Linked DNA regions of Diceros bicornis minor. The protein of the gene in region 2 interacts with the protein of the main gene of each other region in a biochemical or structural test. Links are inferred from orthologs where the notes say so. Each region holds a gene or a part of one and is shown on either strand. Other genes may lie near its edges.

Region 1 (10,897 bases), on a different chromosome or scaffold from region 2:
TGCCTGGCCGTGAGTGTCCTGCACTGTCACTGTCCTCAGCCACACAGGAAACCCTTGGCCAAATCATCCACATCATTTCCTTTATAGCTGCAGATCTGCACTCAGGGCAGCATGCCACCCTGATGAAGAGACATTTTCCTGGAGCAGGACTGGTTTCTAAGGAGACAAGAGAGCTGTTACCACAGATGCCAATCCCGTCTAATCTGACTGCTCTTTCATTCACCAGTTTCTGAGCTCTGTGATCAAATTGGGTGTTATCGTACACATCTTTGTCGATTGTGTTGAAGCGGTGTTGTGTTGTCTTGTTGAAGTTGTGTTGCGTTGATGAAGTTGTGTTCAAGTTGTGTTGCTTGTGTTGAAGCCCAGCCATGCTGGAATGAAGGAAATGAATATGAATCGCAAGCATTCCAGTTTTCCGTTTGCCAATTTTGTCCGTGGGTAGATTGTGTACCAGGAGAGAGGCACTGTCCAAGGGGTGCTATAGGCTCTTTCCACATGTCACTACATTACCAAAACAACCAGTGGAGTCAACAGATCTGTCACGTTGGTGGGTTGTGTTCTCCGTAAACACACCTCATAAAGAGGTAGCTGGGTCCAGAGAATGTGAAATGGTACCAGGGAGCCAACACACAGGCCAAAGGCCGGGAGCTACAGCTGGTTCCCTTCGGTCCCTTGCCGATGGTGGAAAAAGCTCCCGATTTAGTGTTGGGAAACTTGGTGTCCAGTCTTATTTCTTCCTCTAGCAAGCCCCTGCTTCATTTTGTGCATGGGTTTCTCATCTGTAAAAGGATGCAGGTGGGTCTCTGCCCAGCTAGGATGGTGCTGGAGGATTCAAAGCCAGTCTCCCATGTTGTAGGGCCCCCATTGCCTCTGCACCCATCTGTGTGACTCCCAGGCCTCCACCCCCTGGCCTCTTGGTCTCCCTGGACCAGTCATTTGAAGACCATAGCAGATACACAAGAAGGCTACTCTCGTACGTGGTCTAGAACTCAAATAGCCAGATGAATTTGATATGCGCACGTCTGTCATAGACATACATCATCCGTCCTGATGGGAGCCTGCGTTCTTGCATCCCATCCAGGAGATGCTCCCTTTCCTTGAAGCTTCCCTTTTCCTCCCCAGCCTCTGCTGCTCACCTTTCCTGAGCTGGGCCTGTTCACCCCGACACACGTCCGTGTGCTGGGCCAGCTCTCGGAGCATGATGGGCTGGCCGCAGTGTAGGCAGAGCTCTGTCCGGTTGCCGCAGTGGTGCTCGTGGATCTCCACCTTGCTGAGGCGCACGGCCAGCTTACAGAACTTACACTCAACAGGGCGGTCTGGGCATTCCGTGGCCTGCGGGGAGGCAGGCAGGACGGGCATGGTCACTGGCTTGCAGTGACTGCAGCCCTGTTGGTCAGGATAGGGATATTTGCTTATTTCCCTAGGAACTGAGGCCAATAAGAGAAAGCCGATGGGAAGTGCTAGAGGGGGCACTCTCCTCTGGGAATACAGCTCTCTTGGGCTCATGGACCGGGGCAAGCCCTTCTGACCAGCATCTAGGGGACAGCAGGACCTGTGTTCCTGTGGCGGGCTAGTTCTCCATTTTTCCCCGCGCCGACTTGGGTGAGAAGAGAGAGGTCAAGTGGAAATCTTGATTATTGGCCCCTCCTCGCCCTTCCTCTCCTCCCAGGTTGGCTGCTTGGCGGTTAAGGAGAAATCACTCTGGACTCTCACCTCATGAAACTCCAGCAAGTGCTTCTGCACGCTCTGCTGACACATCGCACACCAGACCTAAACACAGAGAGAAATGCAGCTCCCACCCAGCTCTTGCTGCCTCTCCCCACATCTGCCTCAGTTCATGTGTTTTAGGTCCGGGTCTGTGAGCTCCTCGGGGGTGGGGATCAGGTGTGGCTCCTCAGGCTCTCTGCAGCACCGGGCCCGTGTGCAAGAAGTGTTTGTGGGACCCACAGAGTTGAAATGGATGCCTGAGCTTGAGAATCAGAAAGACAGAAAAGGGACCCCAGGAGGGACTGACATGAAAGAGCAGGAAAGAAAAGTCAGCCTTTGACTGGCCTTGGCCATGACTGCCTTCTAGAACTTTCCTTTCCTGCTTCCCCTCTTCACAAATCTCAAAAGAACATTCAACCTTTTCTGAAACAGGGACCCCTTGTCTTGGCCGAACCCATCAGCCTGTAGGGAAAGGATTGGGAATGGGAAAAGCGGGGTAGACTCAGTTCAGTGTGAGAAAGGCAGAGTCACCATCTCCACGTCACAGACGGGGGCTGGGGCGTGCAGGGGCTAAATGGTTAGCCCCTACCAGCCAAGCAAGTTACTGCAGCGAGGACTAGACTCTGGCTGGCCTCCCCGCGCTCCACCTCTGCCTCCTCACCTGCTGGTGCCCGTTCTCACAATGCTCTTCCTTCTTTGCCAGGGGGACGGGTCCCTTGCACTCCGGGCAGAGGACCAGGAACAGAAGGCAGTGGGCCTCGTGGAGGGCCAAGTGGGCAGGGGCCATGCTTCTTTTGCTGCAGGAGCAAAGGGGGAAGGAAAACAAGCTGACTTCTTGGCATAAAACATGGAGTCATATTTCATACCCGGGCTGCTGGGTTAAGATCCTTCGAGGCCTCAAGCATTGAAAACATGATGATGATGCCCCCTCCCCATGTTGCTCCCCATTCAGAACAACACAAAATCATAAAATAAGTGTAAGGACGCTCCACAAAGCTCTCACATTGCCCGGATCGAGTGGGGCTGGGTGAGAGGGAGCAGGAGGAGAGATTACCAGGGGCCTGAGGAGACCTAGGGGTGGTGGGCAGGCTCACTATCTTGACTGTGGTGATGGCTTCATGGGGATATACACGTGCCAAATGCGCCACATAGTACACTTCAAAAATGAACCATAAATGCAGTTTATGTCCATCGTACCCTGGTAAAGCTGTTTGAAAAGCGAAAGAACAAATATCAAATTCCTTCCAGTATTTTGTCTTGTTTTCAAGTGCTCCCCCGCGTGGTACACGGCTGCTTGGGAACCCAGCCCCGCCACGCCCACGCCCCCTGCAAGGGCAACACCGGCTTTCAGGATCTCCACAGCGAGAGCTTCCCACGGCTCCGAGAGCTGAGGCCTCCACTGATGCCCTGCCTCCAGGCTGACCCGTGCAACTCAGAGAGATCCCGAGGCCCTTCTTGAAGACCCCAAAGAACAGAAGCTTCTGAGCCTCCCGGGTCCCGGGCAGGTGGTTTCTTAACCCTCCTCCTCACTGCAAAATGCCTCCTTTCATTTCCATCAGCTCTTGCTTGTGGCAGCTTGGGAGAAAGGAAACTCAGAGGCTGCAGCCCTAAAGCCCCAGTGAGGATGAGAGTTGCACCCCCAAGGCCCTGGCACAGGGGATGTGGCCAGAGGGGAGCAGCCAGAGCCTCACTCCTCTTGATCTGAACAAGCTCATGGCTTCTGCGCTGCCCAGATGGACCAAGCCTTCTCCACTTTCCCGTTCCTCCTCTGTTCTTGCCCCCTGCCTGGCCTGGCCCCTTTCTCTCTCTGCTCTCCCTGCCCCGTCCCCTCTGCTCTTCTTCCTGAGCTGGTCCACACACCAGGGAGCCAGGAGGGTCTGTCTGGAGCAAAGCTCTCTGGGAAGGATCCTCTGTCCCCCTCACCCCACCCCGCCCCACAGCTCCCTCTCAAGGAGAGGTTGGGAACGGTCCTGGAGAACCTCCGTGGGCCCCTTTCTGTCAAAGACCGGTGTGAAGACTTGGTGATCAGAACCACAAATTAGGACCCAAGATCTGACAAGCCTGAGTAGCCCAGCAGGGACAATTAGCCTGGCTATTTGAATTAGGACTGTCCCAGAAAGTCTAAAATATCTCGGGGAGGGGGCGGGGTTCAGTGATATTAAGGTAATGCTGCCCACCTCTTGCCATCTCATCATCTCAGAGATCCACTGAGTCTAAACCTTCTTACCTGGGGCACAGTGCCCACCCCGTCCCACCCATAGCAATGTCCGGACCCTTTCTCCTCACTTCAGAAGCCGCCTTGTCCTGCTGCCCCTCTCACCAGCCAGCCTCAGGCCCACAGCTAGGGAAAGCCACTTCTTACCAGTTCCTGCATGCCTGGAAGGCCCCCTCCATTTCTGGTCTCCGCAGTCTTCCTGTTGAGTTTCTGTTTCTCGCAGACTAGAAAACAAAACTGAAAGTGTTCCCACAACCCGGCCCACAGCTCTGGGGAGGGAGGGGTTTTTCAGAATTCCCAGCCCAGGGCTGCTCCAAGGTTCTTGCAGCTGGACACTCCCAGGAAGCCCGTCTGTAGCTTGGCCAGCCTAGCCTGCCCCCACTGCCTCCGCCTGCCTGTGCTGTCACCCCGTGCTGCTGTCACTGACCATTTCTACGACCTCGAGGAAGGGAGCCAGAGGCCAGGCCTCCCCTGGGCAGCAGCCCCTCCTCTCACCCAGGCTGGCTTCACTGCCTCTGAGTATCTCTATCCCCTTCCACAGAACACTTCCACAGAACTCCCCTCTCCTGTTCCTCTTGCTGGTCCTTCCTCGGCTGGAGAGACATGGCTTGCTGTGTTGAATTGGAAGGCTGCTTCCTGAGAGCAGCTCCTGGACTTCCTGTCTCCTCCTCTGGTCCTAGGTGGTGACGACTTTGAAAACAGGGTCCAGAAGGAATTGGGGATGCAGAGTGGTGTGTGCCAAGACTGCAGGCTTTCAGGCCACATCACACAGTAGCTTGGTGACCTAGGGCAACAGCCTAGCTCCCTGAGCTTCTCTTCCCTCACTTGTAAATAATTACAGCAAACATGGCTGTAAGGCTGACGGGGTGACAGACAAGTGAGGAAGCTTCTATTTTCATCATCCCCATCTGCAGATAAAGAAACCGAGGCAGTGAGGGGCGATGTGACTTGCACACGTCACATAGCCAGGAGGCAGGAGAATCAGGCTTTGAACCCAGGCAAAGTGGCCCCCGGCCTGTCTCTCCTCAATGGCCATAGGGTTGGGAGCTCAGAGTTCGAATCCTGATTAACTGGCAGCTTGAGTGACCTCAGCCTTTTGGGCTTCTGTTTCTTCATTTTTTGGACTCAACTGGGGAACTGGGGGACTTTAGGAGTCTGTATGCTCCCAGAAATTGTGTGCACAATTGCTTTCATGTATGTGCCTTTTCCCAAGAAAGAGCCAATGTTTTTAGCAGACACTCAAAAGGAGTCCATGACCCGGACAGTTATAAATGACTGGACAAATTGACCCAAAGTTTTGAGATTCAAAGAAATCAAGTTCTGTTAAAGGCAACACATGTCCAAAATTATATGTGCATAATTGAATCAAGTGAACAGAGGAGATTTGTTTGTCTACCTGTGTTCTTTTCACAGGGAGAAGCAGGGTGCAATTCGTTAGATAAATAAAAATGATGAAACAGTGTATCACATAGCTCAATGAGAATTTAAAAATATGCAGATAATTGCAACTGCATTAGAAACATTTGGATATTATATACTTCATATTGAAATTCTTTAAGAGGATTTAATATGTATTTCTGTTTCCCAGAATTTTATTTGTAAAAAATCAAGCCTATCTTTAATTAGCTTCAATAATCACCTTTATTGTTTATAAACACAGTTAAGATATTAGTGTGTAGTTGGAGAATTTTGATTGTAGTCTTGCACATGTATCTAAGCATTTTAATTTATTTCAACTTTAGTGAGCACACCATATACACAACTTTACAACAGCTGATAAATACCTAGCAGCTTTTCACTAATACATGAAGAAGTCCCTCCTGATGTTCAGAATGTCAGAAAGCAAAAAGGAATCATGAAGCAAAGATGAGTAACACGCAAAGCACCTAGATTGGGGCCTGGCCATTTGTCGGGGCTCTTGGTGCTGGGGTGGAGGACAGTGGCTTCCAAACTTGTCCACACATTGGAATCGCTTAGGGAACTTACAGAAATCCACTGATGCCTGCCCAACCCCAGAGAGTGTGACTTCACTGGTCCAGGTGGGACTGTGGGGTTTTGAAAGGTCCTAGGTGATTCTAACGTGCAGAGAAGCCAGGAGCCACTGGTGTAGGAGGAAAAGGCTGGTTCCAAGTTGCAGGGCCAGCGCTGTGATTTAAGCCTTTGGCCCTTGGCTTTCCATCTGAAGACTAAAGGGATGGGGGCAGATGAGCGTCATTGAAAATTCCAGAAGTAGAGATGTGCAGCGTGGGGACAGACACTTGGTGCTCATGGAGGAAAGATGGGCTGGGTTGCTGCCGAGGGGAGAGCCGGGATCATTTGGTGGAAATCTCCGGAGGCCCTGAGCTTCCTTCCCATCACTACCCTGTCCCTCGATGAACCCGTCAGGGATGGAGGGGACTCGGCCCCAGGAGTGAGGCTGGGAGGGTCTAGGATGCGGTGAATGCCAAGCTCTCATGTCCCCTGTGGGTGAGCTCACAAGAAAGCCCACATAAGCCAAGGTGCAGACAAGCTTTTCATCCAAGCAGGCCCAGGGGAGGCCACCGGAAGAGAAGGGGTGGTGGCCTGCTGGATGGGGTGCTTCAGGGATGTGGGAACAGGATGTGGAGGCTGCTTACATACCCCCCCATCCGCCCACTGGATAGACCTACTCTAGTGTGATCCCCCCCGGGGTCCTCAGAGCATTCCCAGACCCCAGAAGCAGCTGTGCTAACAGAAAGGCTCTGAATGATGAGTGAGGAGCGATGACACAGGCAGGAGGAGAGAATTCTTGTGAAGTCTGCAGATGGGATGGGGGCCCCTCGGAGGAGGATAATGGGATTAAGGACTAGGCCAGACGGGCTCCAGCCTCCTGCCAGACTGTAAAATTCAGGCACCAAATGAGGAACAGTGGGCAGTAATCATAATGATCAGAGGGATAAGAGGTAATAGCCAATGAAGGCTTAAGCATTTTCCATGTCCCAGGCATTATGCTAAGCATTTTACAGGCATTAATTTTTGTGTGCGTGTGTGTGAGGAAGATCGGCCCTGAGCTAACATCTGTTGCCAATCTTCCTCTTTTTATTGAGGAAGATGGGCCCTGAGCTAACAGCCATGACCTTCTTCCTCTGTTGTATATATGGGACACCTGCCACACCGTGGCTTGATGAGCGGTGCATAGGTCTGTGCCCAGGATCTGAATCCTCGATCCCCGGACTGCCGAAGCAGAGCATGTGAATCACTACACCACCAGGCCAGCCTCCATTAATTTTTTTTTTTTAATCTGCCCAACAGCTCTGGCACAAGAATTATTATTAGCCCCATTTTGCACCTATAGAAACGGAGGCACAGAGAGTTTAAGGACTTTGCTCAAGGTCACACAGCGAGTGCCAGAGCTGGGATTCAAAACAGGTTGATCTGACTCAGGGATCTACGTGTCTAAGCAAGACACGGTCCACCTTGTTAGACAGCTGGTGGTGGGGGAGACCCCGGTTAGCATCCTGACTCCCTTCCTCATCAGCTGGGCAAATTCCTTAATCTCTTGGACCTTTGCCTCGCACTCCTGTCTATCTCGGGGCAGGCAGTCTTGTGAATATCCACAATAACGAAAAAAACTGAGCTTTCACACCTCGTCTCCTGCTGGGATCCCCCAGAATGGAGGGGGGTGGTAGAAATGTAAAAGAGCGGTGCACAGGTGGGGCGTCCCAGAGCGCAGGAATCAGGGACAGGGCCATGGGGGTGGAATTGGAAAGGACTATGAGTTTTTTCATCTCTGCCCTAATTTTCTTCCAAGATGTTTTCTCTTTCCAGACTGTCCACCCCTGCACCATCCCTTCCCTTACATATCAAAATCCCACCAGTTCTTCAAGTCCAACTCCAATGCGGTCACTGGTAGAGGACCTCCCTCCTCTGTCTCTGGTTATGGTCAGTTGCTTGTCTGTTTGTTGCCCCAACTTGCCCCCACTCAACTATGGGTGTAGACAATTTGAGATTCATCACCTCTTTCACCAGGCTCTTTCTGCCAGAGGGACCCACATGCCTTGTGCTTAGTAGGCAGTGAAGCGCTATGCTGTGCGTTGGTGGGCAAACACTGGCCAACCTGAATGGATGTGAAGGATGCGTGTCTGGGTTAATTAGAGCGGAAGTTAGAAGTCCTTCCCCACCGCCAGCCCACCCCAGTACCCAGGGGCTCTCAAAGACGCAGTGATGGCCATTTCTTTTGAACGTTCAAGATAACTTATAATTATATAACTAATGCACAAATATGCTTTCTTTAAAAAAAATCAGAATATTACAGATAAAGTAAAATTTCTTTTTGACCACATGCCCACTCCTGAGCCGCCACTATTTTTAACTGCAGTGTGTAACCGGGAACATTCTGGTTGGCACAGAGGCCTGTCCCCATTCCCACCACAATGTGAATCAGAGCTGTGGGCTTGCATGATTTCGTCATTCTGCCACCCGTCTTTGGCTGGTCACCAACCCCCTCCTCCAACCCCAATCCCATAAAAAACTGGATTAGAAATGCTCTGTTGTGAGTCTAGAATTCCTCTCCAGGACGCTGTGGCTGCCCGCTTGGCAGCTGTCAGGAGTTTCCGGCAGTCCCTTTGTGTCAGGCCGGCGGGTCAGGGGAGGGGGGTCAGGGTTGTCACAGGGAACCGATTCCTCAGACATGGTTTGGCCAGGCTGCTCGATGTCACCTTTCACTGGGAGGGGGGGAAGGGGAAGTAGGAATTCTGGGCTGGACCAGGAATTAGGAATAATAATACGTACCTCAATGCATTGTTTTGAGGATAAAACGAGAAATTCTGTATGAAAGCTGTACAAGGTCATGGAAGATAAGAGAGAGTGTGAAAAGAAGGTTATTTCAATAGCTGGCTTTGGGAAGAGAGCTTAGGTTTTATTCTTTCAAGGGACCGCTATGCTAAGAAAAATGATGTAACGACGGAGGTATTTCATTTCCCAGACAAAAATTACATGGTGGAATTGTGCACACTTATGTTGGTCATGCCTTTCAGAAGGATCCTGTGGTCAGAGTGGGCCTGAGTTCTGGCAGACATGATTATCAAGATTGCAGTCTCCCCAAGTACAATATGTTTGAGTGGGAGTTTGTTTTTCAGACCACATGCAATTGCATCAAATGACTAGTCTCTGGATGGAATTCAAGCCTGGGAATATCTGTGATTGTGTTTGGGGCAGACTCCAGGTCTGGCTGGGTGGCGAAGTCAGGGAATGCCCTGTCGGCTCCTGCTTAGTTGGCATGCAAAGGGGAGGAAACTTGTCATTAAACTCACGGGCAAGAAACAGCAGCTCCATGGCATCCTGTGTGCATTTGTGGTCCCAAGTATTCTTCCCTTCCCTGCCTTCTGGTGGAGGTCTGTTTCCACATAGTCTCAGCTCTTTTTCCTGGTTAAAGCACCTCCTCACCCACTCCCCTACCCAATCAGCAATCCTAGCTCCTCTCTTTGTCCCCAAATGGCCCAAAGGGACATTTCAGGGTCAGTGTTCAGGGGCCTTCTCCCTCTCCCAGGGGAGTATTTAGGTCTCAGTCATGGACTCGCCACCTTAGTTGCTGCCAGATCTCATGCGACAAGTACAAATGACCATACCCATCAAATCTTTTGTTGTCACTTTTCTAGGGGATGTAAGAGAAAAAAATCAGACTCTGAGCATATTTTCATTCTCAGAAGTCGGGGTGAACTTACTGTGCGTGAGCAAGTCGTGGTGATGAGCAGCCACTCAGATCTCATTTTAGAGAATAATTAGTGTCTTTTAATTTTTGAAAAAAAAGCTTATATTCATGTCTTGAATTCTAACATCCTCTTCCACTCCTTGTCTCTATGAGTGTCTCTTTCTACCCTGTCCTTGACATCATGTGGTCTGTCTTACGATGGTGTGCTGGGGCTTTCTTACAATGGCTTGCACTGGCTCTGAGGTCTTGTTGTGCCCATCTCTTCCCAATTTTCCATTCATGGAAAAGTCATGTAGGTAGCTTGAAATTGGCCATGGTAGGAGTATTTACACCATGGAAATTGGCAAACATTACAAATCAGGACTTTCCCCACCGGCCACCCCCCAGCCCCCCGAGAGCTGGCTGTTAACCCTTTAGCAGCACACCACTGCTTTCCTATCTCAGTGATGTGACGTGGGCTCCATGCTGAAGGCCAGGGGTAGGTCAAGGTAGATCACTGAAAAAAAAGAGACAAAGAAAAGTTTATTGTTCCTTAATATTTATCATAAAAATGTAAAAATTCATTCAGAGAAGAGGTTATAAGCATCAGCTTTTTCACTGACATGTGAACTTATTTCTTTCAAAAAAGTAAATCAAAGAAGGAATGTTTATTTATTTGAGCCAATGTGTCAGTATTGGTCAGGAAAAAAATAAGGCACCATGCCAAGTCGGTAGGATATTGTTTTACAAAGCAGAGGGCATGGTCTGGGTTAAATTATTCCCTTATCCATGTTTATTATTATAAGATATAGTAGGTAAGGTATAGCCTACCATATTTTCCACGTTATTTTGTAGATTAATTAATTAATTTAACAATCAAATGGCCTATATGCACCTGGCTCAGGGGCTACAATCACAAATAAAATAAAGTCTCTGCTCTTAGAGAGTTCACAGACTAGAGAAGGGAAGCTGGCCTGGAAAGAAATGAATGCAGTTGAATTTTATAAATACCAAGATACAATCTCACCCACGGAAGTGAGTGGGGAGATTCAACCCATTGCAACTGGGGTAGTGGGGGTGGTCAGGTCAGATTACCTTCACGGAAAGGTGAGACTTAAGGGAGTATGAGTATGTGTGTGTGTGTGTGTGTGTGTGTGTGCGTGTGCATGTCAGGGTGAGGGTGGGGTGAGATATAGACTGAAGGTAGGGTACAGGGGAGTGGAATAGCCCATTGCACTTGGGTAGATACACACCAACTGTTTCATGTTGGTGTAGCGAGCAATGGGAAAGGATGATCTGTTCCTTTTCCCCAGAAAGCAAGAGGTTGG
Region 2 (10,482 bases):
TCCCTGTCAAGTGCTAAAAAAGTGAAAAATTAAACTGTATACCTGTAATGATATAGATTATAAAATTTACCCTCAAACTCATCGCAGCAGATAACTTTGAGTCATTGAATTCATTTTATATTTTAAACAATTAAGAAATATCACTCATTATATTCTAATTAAAATTGGACATAATGCTTTGGGAAAATGAGTGTTTTATAGGAAAAAAATGGGATAACTGATTTCTATGGCTTTCAAAGGTAAAATATGTAATATACTAAACCAACACTTTAAAAAAAACAACAATAACCAATAAGGTTACCAAAATGGAACAGCACAGCCATTGCCACAGATGCCTGGCATGCACACATGCTGTTAGTCACCTAGTCATGCTCTAACTTCAGAAACAACATGGCAACAGCTCGACATTTTACCCCATCTCATCACAGAAAGACAATGACTCCTCCATCTTACTTCCACATACATTTTTATGGCAGCCATGGCAAGAAGTCTCTGTGCTCTCAATCTGCAGCTCGAGCTCCACGGCTGGGATGCCAGGTGCCAGAGGGCTGCGACACACCCCACAGACAGGCTTCTTCGGCTTCAGACATTCCTGCAGGCATGCAGAGCAAAAGCTAGAACAAGACACACAGAGAACCTGCATCATGCATTGTGGAGACAGGACAACAAAAATGGATCAACTTTTAAAAAGACATCAACGAATAATGGATTAAAAACAACTTGTTCCCTACCCCCGATTCAAATACTGCGTCCTCCTAAGCCAGAAAAATGGAGACGGGGGGTTCCCCTGCAAGGAACACACAGGTCCAGCAACAGAAACACACACACTACCATGATACATGGTGAAAGGTCATGGTGCAGTCTTCAAACCTCAGCCCCTGGCCCTGACAGATCTTGGTGGGGTTTCCTGAACCTCGGTGTCTCCTCTGCGGAATGGAGACAGTAGTACATACCTCTAGGATTGTCGGTAGGATGGAATACGTACAGTAGCCCACAGTACAATGTCTAGCACATATGAAATGCACTGCAAACAGGAGCTGCTATCATTAGAGGTGAATGCAAAGCACTATGGGAACACAAAGACAAGAGCAACTAGGTGTGACCCAAGAAGGACAGGGCTGGTGAGACTGAGAGGTGGCATCCACAGAAGAGCCTCAAAAGAAGGAGTTCAACTAGCAGAGGAAGGGAAGAATATTCCAGCCCTTAGACTTAAAAATTCACAATGTATCTGAGGAAATAAAAGTCTAACACTTTTCCTCATAAGCAGGAGGGACCCAGATGTTTGAAGCAAGGTATCAACAAGACCAAATCCAAGTTTTAGAAAAATGACTCCGGGGTCACCATGGACAATAGAGTTGTTGGTTTTTAATTTTTTTTAGGTGAGGAAAGACGAGAAGAGACTTGAAGTACAAACCAAACAGATGGCTAAAGGCAAGGGATTGTGAGGGCCTTACTGAGGCAACAGAGAATTAATTCAGGAAATGATTCAGAGGTGGCATCAGCAGGACTTGGTCACTTACTGAATTTGGAGAAGAAAAGAGGGAAAGTCAAAGATGACCAAGTTCTATCCTGAAGCCTAGGCAGGGGGTGGTGCTGAGATACAGTACACAGAAAGAATGGGTAATAAGGCATGAAAATACCCCGGCTACGTACCCAACCTGATAGATTTAAGGCAGGATAACAAAATCCGCCAGGAAGAACTCAGGATACATAATCAAAAGTAATCTGCACATTCGACAACTTTTTACTGTTTCTAAGAATGTTATTCCTCTTTGTCATTAAGCTAGATGTTAATGCTGCCAGGCAAAATTCTAGACCAGTCTGGGAGAAGGTGAGGGGTTCTACTCATTCACCACTGAGGGCGCAGTGGTGAACTAAACAAAGTCCCTGTCCTTATGATGCTGATATTCCAGGGTGGAAAAAACACAATTGTGAATTTCAGATAGTGATTAAGTATATGAAGGAAATAAAACAAGGCAAAGAGATCAGCTCTCTTTGTAGATCACAGAAAGCTTCTTCAAGGAGGTAATATTTGAGCTGAGACCTAAATTATGAGGAGAGAACCACACAGACCTGGACACAGAGTTCCATACAGAGATGACACCAAGTCAAGGGGGTGGGAAAGGCAGAAAGGAAGGCCTTTGGGGCCATGACGTGGTAGACCATGGGGAGAGGGTAGGCGATGAGGTTGGAGAGGCAGACAGGCCTTGTAGTCATCACTTGCCATACCTCTTCTCAAGGGCAGATCACAAGATAAACCCAAGAGAGCACACAGGGCCCAGAGAGGATAATGAAACCAAACCCAGCCTGTAGATAAAAGCAGCTCGAAGCCTCCCTTCAAGGACACACCCAGATACAGCTCATCGATCAAATGTTCAAGAGACACTTTGTGCCTGAGTCACGCCCAATGAACGAGCCCGCTTTTAAACGGTCCCTATATCTTGGGCTGGCTTTCAGTTTCCATTTTCCATTTATGGGCCTTTTTCTAGTTCAGCCTTCTAGATGCTCCACCTTTCCTGTTATGTAGAAAGTCCCTTCTCTTGGGCACCCAGCCACCTGCCCTTCTCTAGCTGTATTCCACTAGATTGGAGAGGGATGTGTCATTCAGGGCTTGAAATAAATTTTATAAAAACCCAATGCCCCAGCCACAGCTGCAGTGATGTTCCAGTTTCCAAGCACAAAAGTTAGCAAAAATCACCTAGGCAGAGCAAAAAGCACCTGGCTGGAGCTAACGGAGACTCATGCTCCCCTCACAGAAGTGCAGCCATGTGTCTTCAATCAGCAGTGAACTAATGAACACACGCAACTAGTATGGTGAGTCTAGAAAAGAGCCAAGGTGAATCCCAGTACTGCCCCTTGACCTTTGACCTAGGAAAAGTTCATCTGGCACAAGGAAACCTCAAATTTTTTGCTTTTCAGTTGGTAAATTGTGCTAGGTCAAGTCTCTTTATAAATGTTAACTGTAAAGGAAACCCATTGAGTTAACTCAAAATTAGGTAAAGGTAATAAGGAGGGCTGATCCAAGGCAAAGAGGACTCAATGAGAAAGCTACCTAGACTCCACTTGCACTCTCCCGAAGTCTGCTTCCTCCACTAATTTCTTAGTTCATTCATCCATTACCTGATCACTCTTGCACCCACACACACAGGTCTGACCCTTATAATACCCTCCCACTGCACAAGGAATTTTCACAATAGCTTGAACATCTGTTAGTACTCACTTATCAATCCACCGGCTTGTGGACTCTGAGGGCAGAACCACCTTGTTTCCTACTGTGTGCCAAGAATCTGGCACATAGTGGGCATACAAAGATTTTAGTGGGCTGAATATAAGAGCGGAAGACGGATGCTCAGACACTGTGCTGGACCCTGCGATACAAAGAGGGGCAAAATGGATATGGTCACCGCCCTCGTGATCCCTACGTTTTGCTCTGTGCAAGGAAGAAGGAAGCCCAGGAGAGAAGGAGAGAGGTAATTTAAATGGGGATGGTGATAGGGAAGTAACTTAAACCGGGACTTGAAGTCAGAAAAGGATGTGGGGTAGTGGCGGGGGAGGTGCAAACCGGGGGGGGGGGGGGGGGGGGACGAGTTCCAGGCTAACTGAACAGCAAGCAGGAACAGCCTGAGGCTAGAAACAGCTTCGCGTACTTGAAGAAGCAAGAAAGCAGCGAGTGCGGCTGAAGAGCCCTTGCCAGATGCCAACTGTTCTCTGGGCTGGGACACGGACGCCTACAGTCCATCCTGGGACTGCTGTAGAAATAAGAAGGCCCGTGAAGCCCAACAGGTGCCTAGTGTGCCTGCCGCCCAGTAAAGGGGTCCTAAGACCAACGCCAAGGAGATGCCCACGACAGCACTGAGGGAGGCCACAGAAGAAATGCCAACTGCAAGCGGCAAGAAGCAGGTGACTACATTTTCTGTAATTCTTCCCACTTGAGTGTGTTTGTGTGTCTGATAGAGCAAGGATTCGATTCAAATCCGGCCAACCTCTAAGCACCTACGCCAGCCCAGGGCCTGTCCCGACATTTGCGCACACATCTTTAGTCATCACAACCAGCCTATCAGCAATACGCAGGCCACGAAGGCTTAATTTCAAAAAGAATGAAACAAACCTCGTACACAAGCGAGTAGGAATGCTAACAATCCCCATCTGCCAACTCCCACCCCTTTCAGTTCAGGGCGGACTGGTCAGCTCTCTACCGAGACTTCCCTTTTGTCCTTTCCACCTAGTTCAGCGTTTCTCCAACTTGAGTGCCCATTAGAATTACCTGGCAGAGCTGGATACGTGACGCCACACGTACTCTACGTCAGGGGCGATGGACAGACTCTCAGGGGAGACTGTGGCTCTCCAAGGGCAGACTTGAGACCCTGCCTAGACCCCAGCAGGGTGCGCCTCCACCGTCACCGGCGGGAAGGGCTGACAGGCCGCCGGGAACACGGCAGGCGCTCAACGGAAGGGCGGGGGGCCAACTTCCACGGGCCTTCGGGGGCCCCGCTAGGCCGGTCCTGTCGCTCCCGCCCCCAGACCCTCCCTGCCGGGGCCTCGCTCTTGCGCTCCATTCCCTCCCGGTGTGGCGCCCCCCGACCAGGCCCCGACTCGCCGCTTACACGTGTCCGCAGGGCACCTGCACCGGCTTCTCGTACACCTCCAAGCACACGGGACACGTGAAGCGGCCCAGCGGGTCGGCCTCCGCCGCGGGTCCCGCCAGCTGCGCACCACCCTCACACTCCTCCAGCTGCGCCGCCATCTTGCTGTCGCGGAGCTCGGCGCAACGGCGGCCGACAAGGAGGAGCCCGAGGGGGCGGGCCCGAGCGCGCGAGGGGCGGGGCCCGCGGGCACAGGGGCGGGGCGAGGGGCGGTGAGGCGCGCTGGGGGCGTGGCTTATGGAGCGTGCGCCCGGCTGGGGGCGGGGCTACTGGAAATGCCGAAGGAAATCCGGAAAATGTGGAAGCTAGATCCGGAGACTGGCAGAATTGGAATGGGCTTTGTGCTTCAGCCAGTTTGCAAAATTTAAACTGTTACGCTGTTACTTAATATTTACTTATGCACTGTTACTTAATATTTCTCTTCAAATAGAGTTGCTCTTTCTTTAAACTTAAGCAAACAAATTTTAAAGGGAGATCTGATATCACTCCTGAGATACAAATAGAAAATCAGTATCACATTTCTATAAGGGCAGTGTAAAAATACAATGGAAACAAAACAATGTTATTAATTCTTGCTGGGTACTATTGACGCTGGAAAGGGAGATCAGCCATTATTGGAGAAGTGTTGCAGACAGGCTGTCGCCACACTGAGACTTCCTAGTGAAAGCAGAAGGAATGGGAAACACGTCTCCCGCAGTGAGTCAACGTTATTTAACATTGTGTTCACATGTCTCCTGGCAATGGGGTCCAGCTCCTGTTCTGTACAGATGGGAAGGTGAGGCTTGAAGAGACAGAATAAACCTCAACCTCACAAGAAAGGAGTGAGCCTAGAACCCAGATGTTTTGAATCCCAACTTTCTCCATGTTCTACTGCACAAGATGCATCTTTTTAAACTGAAGGCTCTGCTAACAATGCTACATGGTTTTTTCAACCAGAAAAGTCAATGATCAATTAAACTTCCATCCTGAAAGGCCACAAAGGCCTCACAGTAACGAGTTTACACAGGACAAATAAATGGTGTTTGTTGAGCCAGGTTAATTGAATGGAAACTTGCGCCTCCCTTGTCCCATTCCCAGTTCTCTGCATTGATTTTGCTGGACCTGGCCGCAGCAGGAGGATTATTTTTAGCTGTCCATGTGGGCATCTTTTCACCGAAGAATGACTTGGCATGTAGGCAACAGCCCCAGAGGGCCAATGCTTACACTTCACCGTTTCTTTTTCCTGTTTCTAGCCAGGCACCTGTGCATCTGAGCTCTTCCCAGCCAGAGGTGCACTGTCTCCCCTCCGCGGATGGGGGTGCCATGGCAGGGGCAGAGGTGTGCTGTGGGTATTTACAAGCCTTTACATTGGCCTTGTCGCTGCTGCCCGAGCCTGTGAGTGTGGGCGGGGGCAGGGGAGCCCCAGACCTGGACTTCAAATCCACTGTGCCTCCAGTTTGGGCTCTTGAAATGAACTTTCCATGAGCTTATACACTTAGTCACAGAGACAAGAGGACAGGGCTGAAATAATATTAATAGTGAACTCTTTTTGTGCTTATTATTCTAAGCACTACACGTGAATAAATCGTCACAGCAACCTATGACTTAGGTTCTTTTATTATCCCCATTTTATAGCTATGCAAATTGAAGCACAGAGAGACTAAATTACCTTTTTTTAAAAAAATTATTTTATTGAAGTCATATTGGCTTATAACATTGTGTAAATTTCAGGTGTACATTATTATATATCAGTTTCTATACAGACTGCATCGTGCTCACCACCAATAGTGTAGTTTTTATGTGTCACCATATATATGTACCACTAATCTGTTCTTATCCATGTATTTATCTTCCACTTATGAGTGAAATCATAACAGTGTTTGTCTTTCTCTATCTGGCTTATTTCACTTAGCGTAACACCCTCAAGGTCCATCCATGTTGTCACAAATGGCACGATTTTCTTTTTTTATGGCTGAGTAGCCTTCCGTTGTATATATATACACCACATCTTCTTTCTCCACTCATTCATTGATGGGACACTTGGGTCGCTTCCAGTCTCGGCTATTGTGAATAATGCTGCAATGAACATAGGAGTTCATAAGTCTCTTTGAATTGCTGATTTAAATTACCTTTTAACACAGATGGGAAATGAGAGTCAGGATTTGAACCCACGCAGTCCGGCTTTGGGACCTGTGCACTTGATGGCCTGTGCAACACAGTCTCCTAGAGCTGCAGGTGTCCTCTGTCTGTCCCTGTGATGATGGTGGATTCGGCTCCAGGAACCAGGAGTTGGGGCGCTTCAGCTTCTTGATAATTTCGAGATCTCAGTCTCCCTGGAACAAACCTCAAGAACTGGTCATTAGCCAGAGTTTCAGTTTGTAGCCACCTGGGCTTTTAATAATTTATTACCTCCACTTGCCTTGTGGAATTTAGGGACGCCAAGGGTAAATATTGACGTGTGAATGTAACGTAGAGAAGCAGGGAAGGGGGAGTGAGTGCTTTTTTGTTTTAACCCCATCTATGCTGGGTTCAAAGCAGGGGAACAGATGTCAGGGCCGGCATCACTCACACCTGTGGGAAAGATATGTACACACAGATGTCCAGGACAGCGCTGGTCACAGTGGCAACGTGGTTAAATAAATACAATAGATGTAATTACTGGTATATCAACTCCATGAGGACAGGCATTCATCCATTTTGTTTACTACTGTATCTTCAGCTTCTACAACAGTATGTATTGCACGGTAGGTAACTCCACAAATATTTGTTAAATGAATATACAGCTGATATATTTTTGAAGTATACGTTTAATTAAAATAACACCAAATGCTGAGTAATGCAGCTAGTATATGTGTATGTTTGTGTGTGATGAATAGACGTCTCTGGAAGGTAGGGGAACCAACTGTCCCATTCGCCTGGGGCCCAGGGGTTTCCCAGGATGCGAGGCTTTCCGTGCTCAAACTGGGAAAGTCCCCGGCACAGCACGATTGGAAGGATTCCCTAGAATCCGGTACCAGTGTCTATTATCAGAAAGGGGAACTGGGGACCCGGGGCCTGTGGGTTGTGGGCCTGGAAGAAGACTAACTTGTCATTCTCTTCCCTCTTGTATTGTCTAAACTTTTCTACCAAGTTCCTGCATCATTTTTTAAGTAAAATTAAACAGTGGTGCCTTAGGCCCTGTGGGAGAATAGTTGAGATGAATTAGATATGACCTCAGCCCTCAAATCATGTAACCCTCAGAGCCCTATTGCTTAGCCTCGGGTCACACGTAAAATTTATTACTATACTTATCTAACGTAGGAGGAATTCACACCATTATGTGTTACTACACTTATTAATCTATGGTTACTGCATTTATTAATCCATGGGCAGATAATTTCATCTTGGCTTCAGCCAGTTCGCCAAGATTGCCAAATTGTAAGAGACAGGAGGAATTCCCACCTACACCACTGGGGGGCATACGAGTATCTTATAGGCTCACCCTGCCCAGCAAGGTCAACACTGCCTCTCTTATTCTTTCCTGTTCCTTAAGTGCCTACTGCCCTTGCTCATTGTGGCTTACTGTACTTAGCCTGGAAGTAAAAATCAAAAAGGACATAGTCTCGGGTTGCAAGGAGGTGACACTGGCATGTAAATATCCATTCAACCAATAACTTTTGTGTGCCAGGCCTCCTAATAGGTGTTAGGGATATGGCAGTGAATGATTTGGATATAAACAGGAAAGACACAGGGGGGTGACCACATAAAAATGCTGCTTCCAGAAAATTGCAGTTTATCAGTTGTTTCACCAGCTCACTGTTTTCACACAGCATTTTACAGTTTATGTTATATCAAGGATCAGCAACATGAGGTAAACACAATGATCTAGTAAGATCTGACAAGAACTAGAACCAAACAATGGATATTATCAAGAAGACTGAAATAGGGACTTAAATCCACCATCATCAGCACTAAGCTGCACTCCATGTACATATTGCGACTTGAGACATTGGCTAATGAGAGAATGAATTCACAGTTAGCAAGACGCTGAAAAACTAAGCATCCATGTGGAAGCTGGAATTGCTGGGTCATTTGGCAAGTGTATATTTAAACTTATTAGAAACTGCCAAACCAAACCATTTCCCAAATATATCCCACTGCCGCCGACGGTGTGTGAGCTGCTCCGTATCCTCACCAGCGTGTGGTTGTCTGCCATTTTGATTTTAGCCGTTCTAGTGGGTGTCTAGTGATGTCCTATGGTTTTCATTTTCATGGTGATGAGTGATGTTGAGCACTTTTGCATTTGCTTATTGGCCATTTGTATGCTTTCCTTTGGATAGCATTTGTTCAAGTCTTTTGTTAATTTTTTATTGTCTTTTTTGTTCTTCGTTGTAGGAGTTCTTCTCTATAAGGGTATCCCAAAGGTCTTAGTGCAATTTTGAGCTTTAAATACTTCAAAGCTATTTAAAGTTTAACACTTAAAACTGCACCAAATTTTTGGAGGCTTTGTAAATTCTGGATACAAATCCTTTATCAGACATATGTCCTACAAATATTTTTTCACAGTCTGTGGCTTGCCTATGCATTTTCTTAGTTGTGTCTTTTTTTTTAATATGCCACTTTGTAAAACTTTTTTTTTTTTTTTTTTTTTGGTGAGGAAGATCAGCCCTGAGCTAACATCCATGCTAATCCTCCTCTTTTTGCTGAGGAAGACCGGCTCTGAGCTAACATCTATTGCCAATCCTCCTCCTTTTTTTTTTCCCCCAAAGCCCCAGTAGATAGTTGTATGTCATAGTTGCACATCCTTCTAGTTGCTGTACGTGGAACGTGGCCTCAGCATGGCCGGAGAAGCGGTGCGTCGGTGCGCGCCCGGGATCCGAACCCACGGGCCACCAGTAGCGGAGCGCGCGAACTTAACCACTAAGCCACCAGGCCGGCCCTGTAAAACTTTTTATTGTGGAAAATTTTAAACATATTTAAAAGTAAAGTGAGTAGAATGATGAATTTACATGTACCTTTCACCCAGCTTTCATAGTTACCAGTTCATGACTAGTCTTATTTGTTCTATGCCCTCATCAATTCTTCCCTTCACCCACCAGTGGCATTATTTTGAAGCAAATTTAATCATGTCTTTTGATGAGCAGAAATTTTTAATTTTGATAAGGTCTAATCTATCTTTTTTTTTTCCTTTTATTATTCGGGGTTTGTGTTCTAAAACACCTTTGTCTACCCACGGTTGCAAAGATGTTCTCCAACATGTTCATTTAGAAGTTTTATAGTTTTAGCTTTTATGTTTAGAACTATGATCCATCTTGAATTAATTTGTGTGTATGGTGTGAGGTGTGGATCCAATGTTAGCTTTTCCCAATGGCTATCCAGTTGTTCCAACACCATTTATTAAAAAGCCCACTCTGTGACCCCAAATTTCACTCAAGAAAAAATTTAGGTAAAATTCTCAAATTTTACCCAAGAGATATGTAAACACATGTTCATAAAAAGATTTGTGCAAGAGTGTTGTAGCTCATACAAGAATGTTCAAATCGTTCTAAACTGGAAACATGCCAAAAATATATCAACATGTGAATGAATAAACAAGTTGCAGTGTCTTCATACAATGGAATACTACTCAGCAATACAAAGGAACAAACTATCGATACATTATACTTATAATGTGGATGAATCCCAAAAACATTATGCTGAGTGAAAGTAGCCAGACCCCAAAATTTACATAATGTAGGATTGTATTTATATGAAATTCCAAACAAAACTAATCATGGTGAAAGAAATAAGAACAGTGATCTCCTCTGGGCGTAGACTTGACTGAAAAGGACATGAAGGAACTTTCTGGGATTTTGGAAATATTCTATATTTTAATAGGGAT

Evidence for each region.
Region 1: the proteins of RNF114 (region 2) and XAF1 form a complex in vitro, tested with the Homo sapiens proteins (2 studies listed by BioGRID). The link is inferred for Diceros bicornis minor from reciprocal best matches to the Homo sapiens genes RNF114 and XAF1.

What each region holds. Positions count from the first base shown.
Region 1 is NC_080757.1:13,156,006-13,166,902, reverse strand, and holds the start of XAF1 (XIAP-associated factor 1), read right to left. Parts: upstream 4,171-10,897; 5' UTR 4,102-4,170; coding exon 4,070-4,101; intron 2,505-4,069; coding exon 2,369-2,504; intron 1,771-2,368; coding exon 1,714-1,770; intron 1,333-1,713; coding exon 1,137-1,332; intron 1-1,136. UniProt on the Homo sapiens protein: Seems to function as a negative regulator of members of the IAP (inhibitor of apoptosis protein) family. Inhibits anti-caspase activity of BIRC4. Induces cleavage and inactivation of BIRC4 independent of caspase activation.
Region 2 is NC_080758.1:12,095,748-12,106,229, forward strand, and holds the start of RNF114 (E3 ubiquitin-protein ligase RNF114), read right to left. Parts: upstream 4,760-10,482; 5' UTR 4,745-4,759; coding exon 4,605-4,744; intron 615-4,604; coding exon 464-614; intron 1-463. UniProt on the Homo sapiens protein: E3 ubiquitin-protein ligase that promotes the ubiquitination of various substrates. In turn, participates in the regulation of many biological processes including cell cycle, apoptosis, osteoclastogenesis as well as innate or adaptive immunity.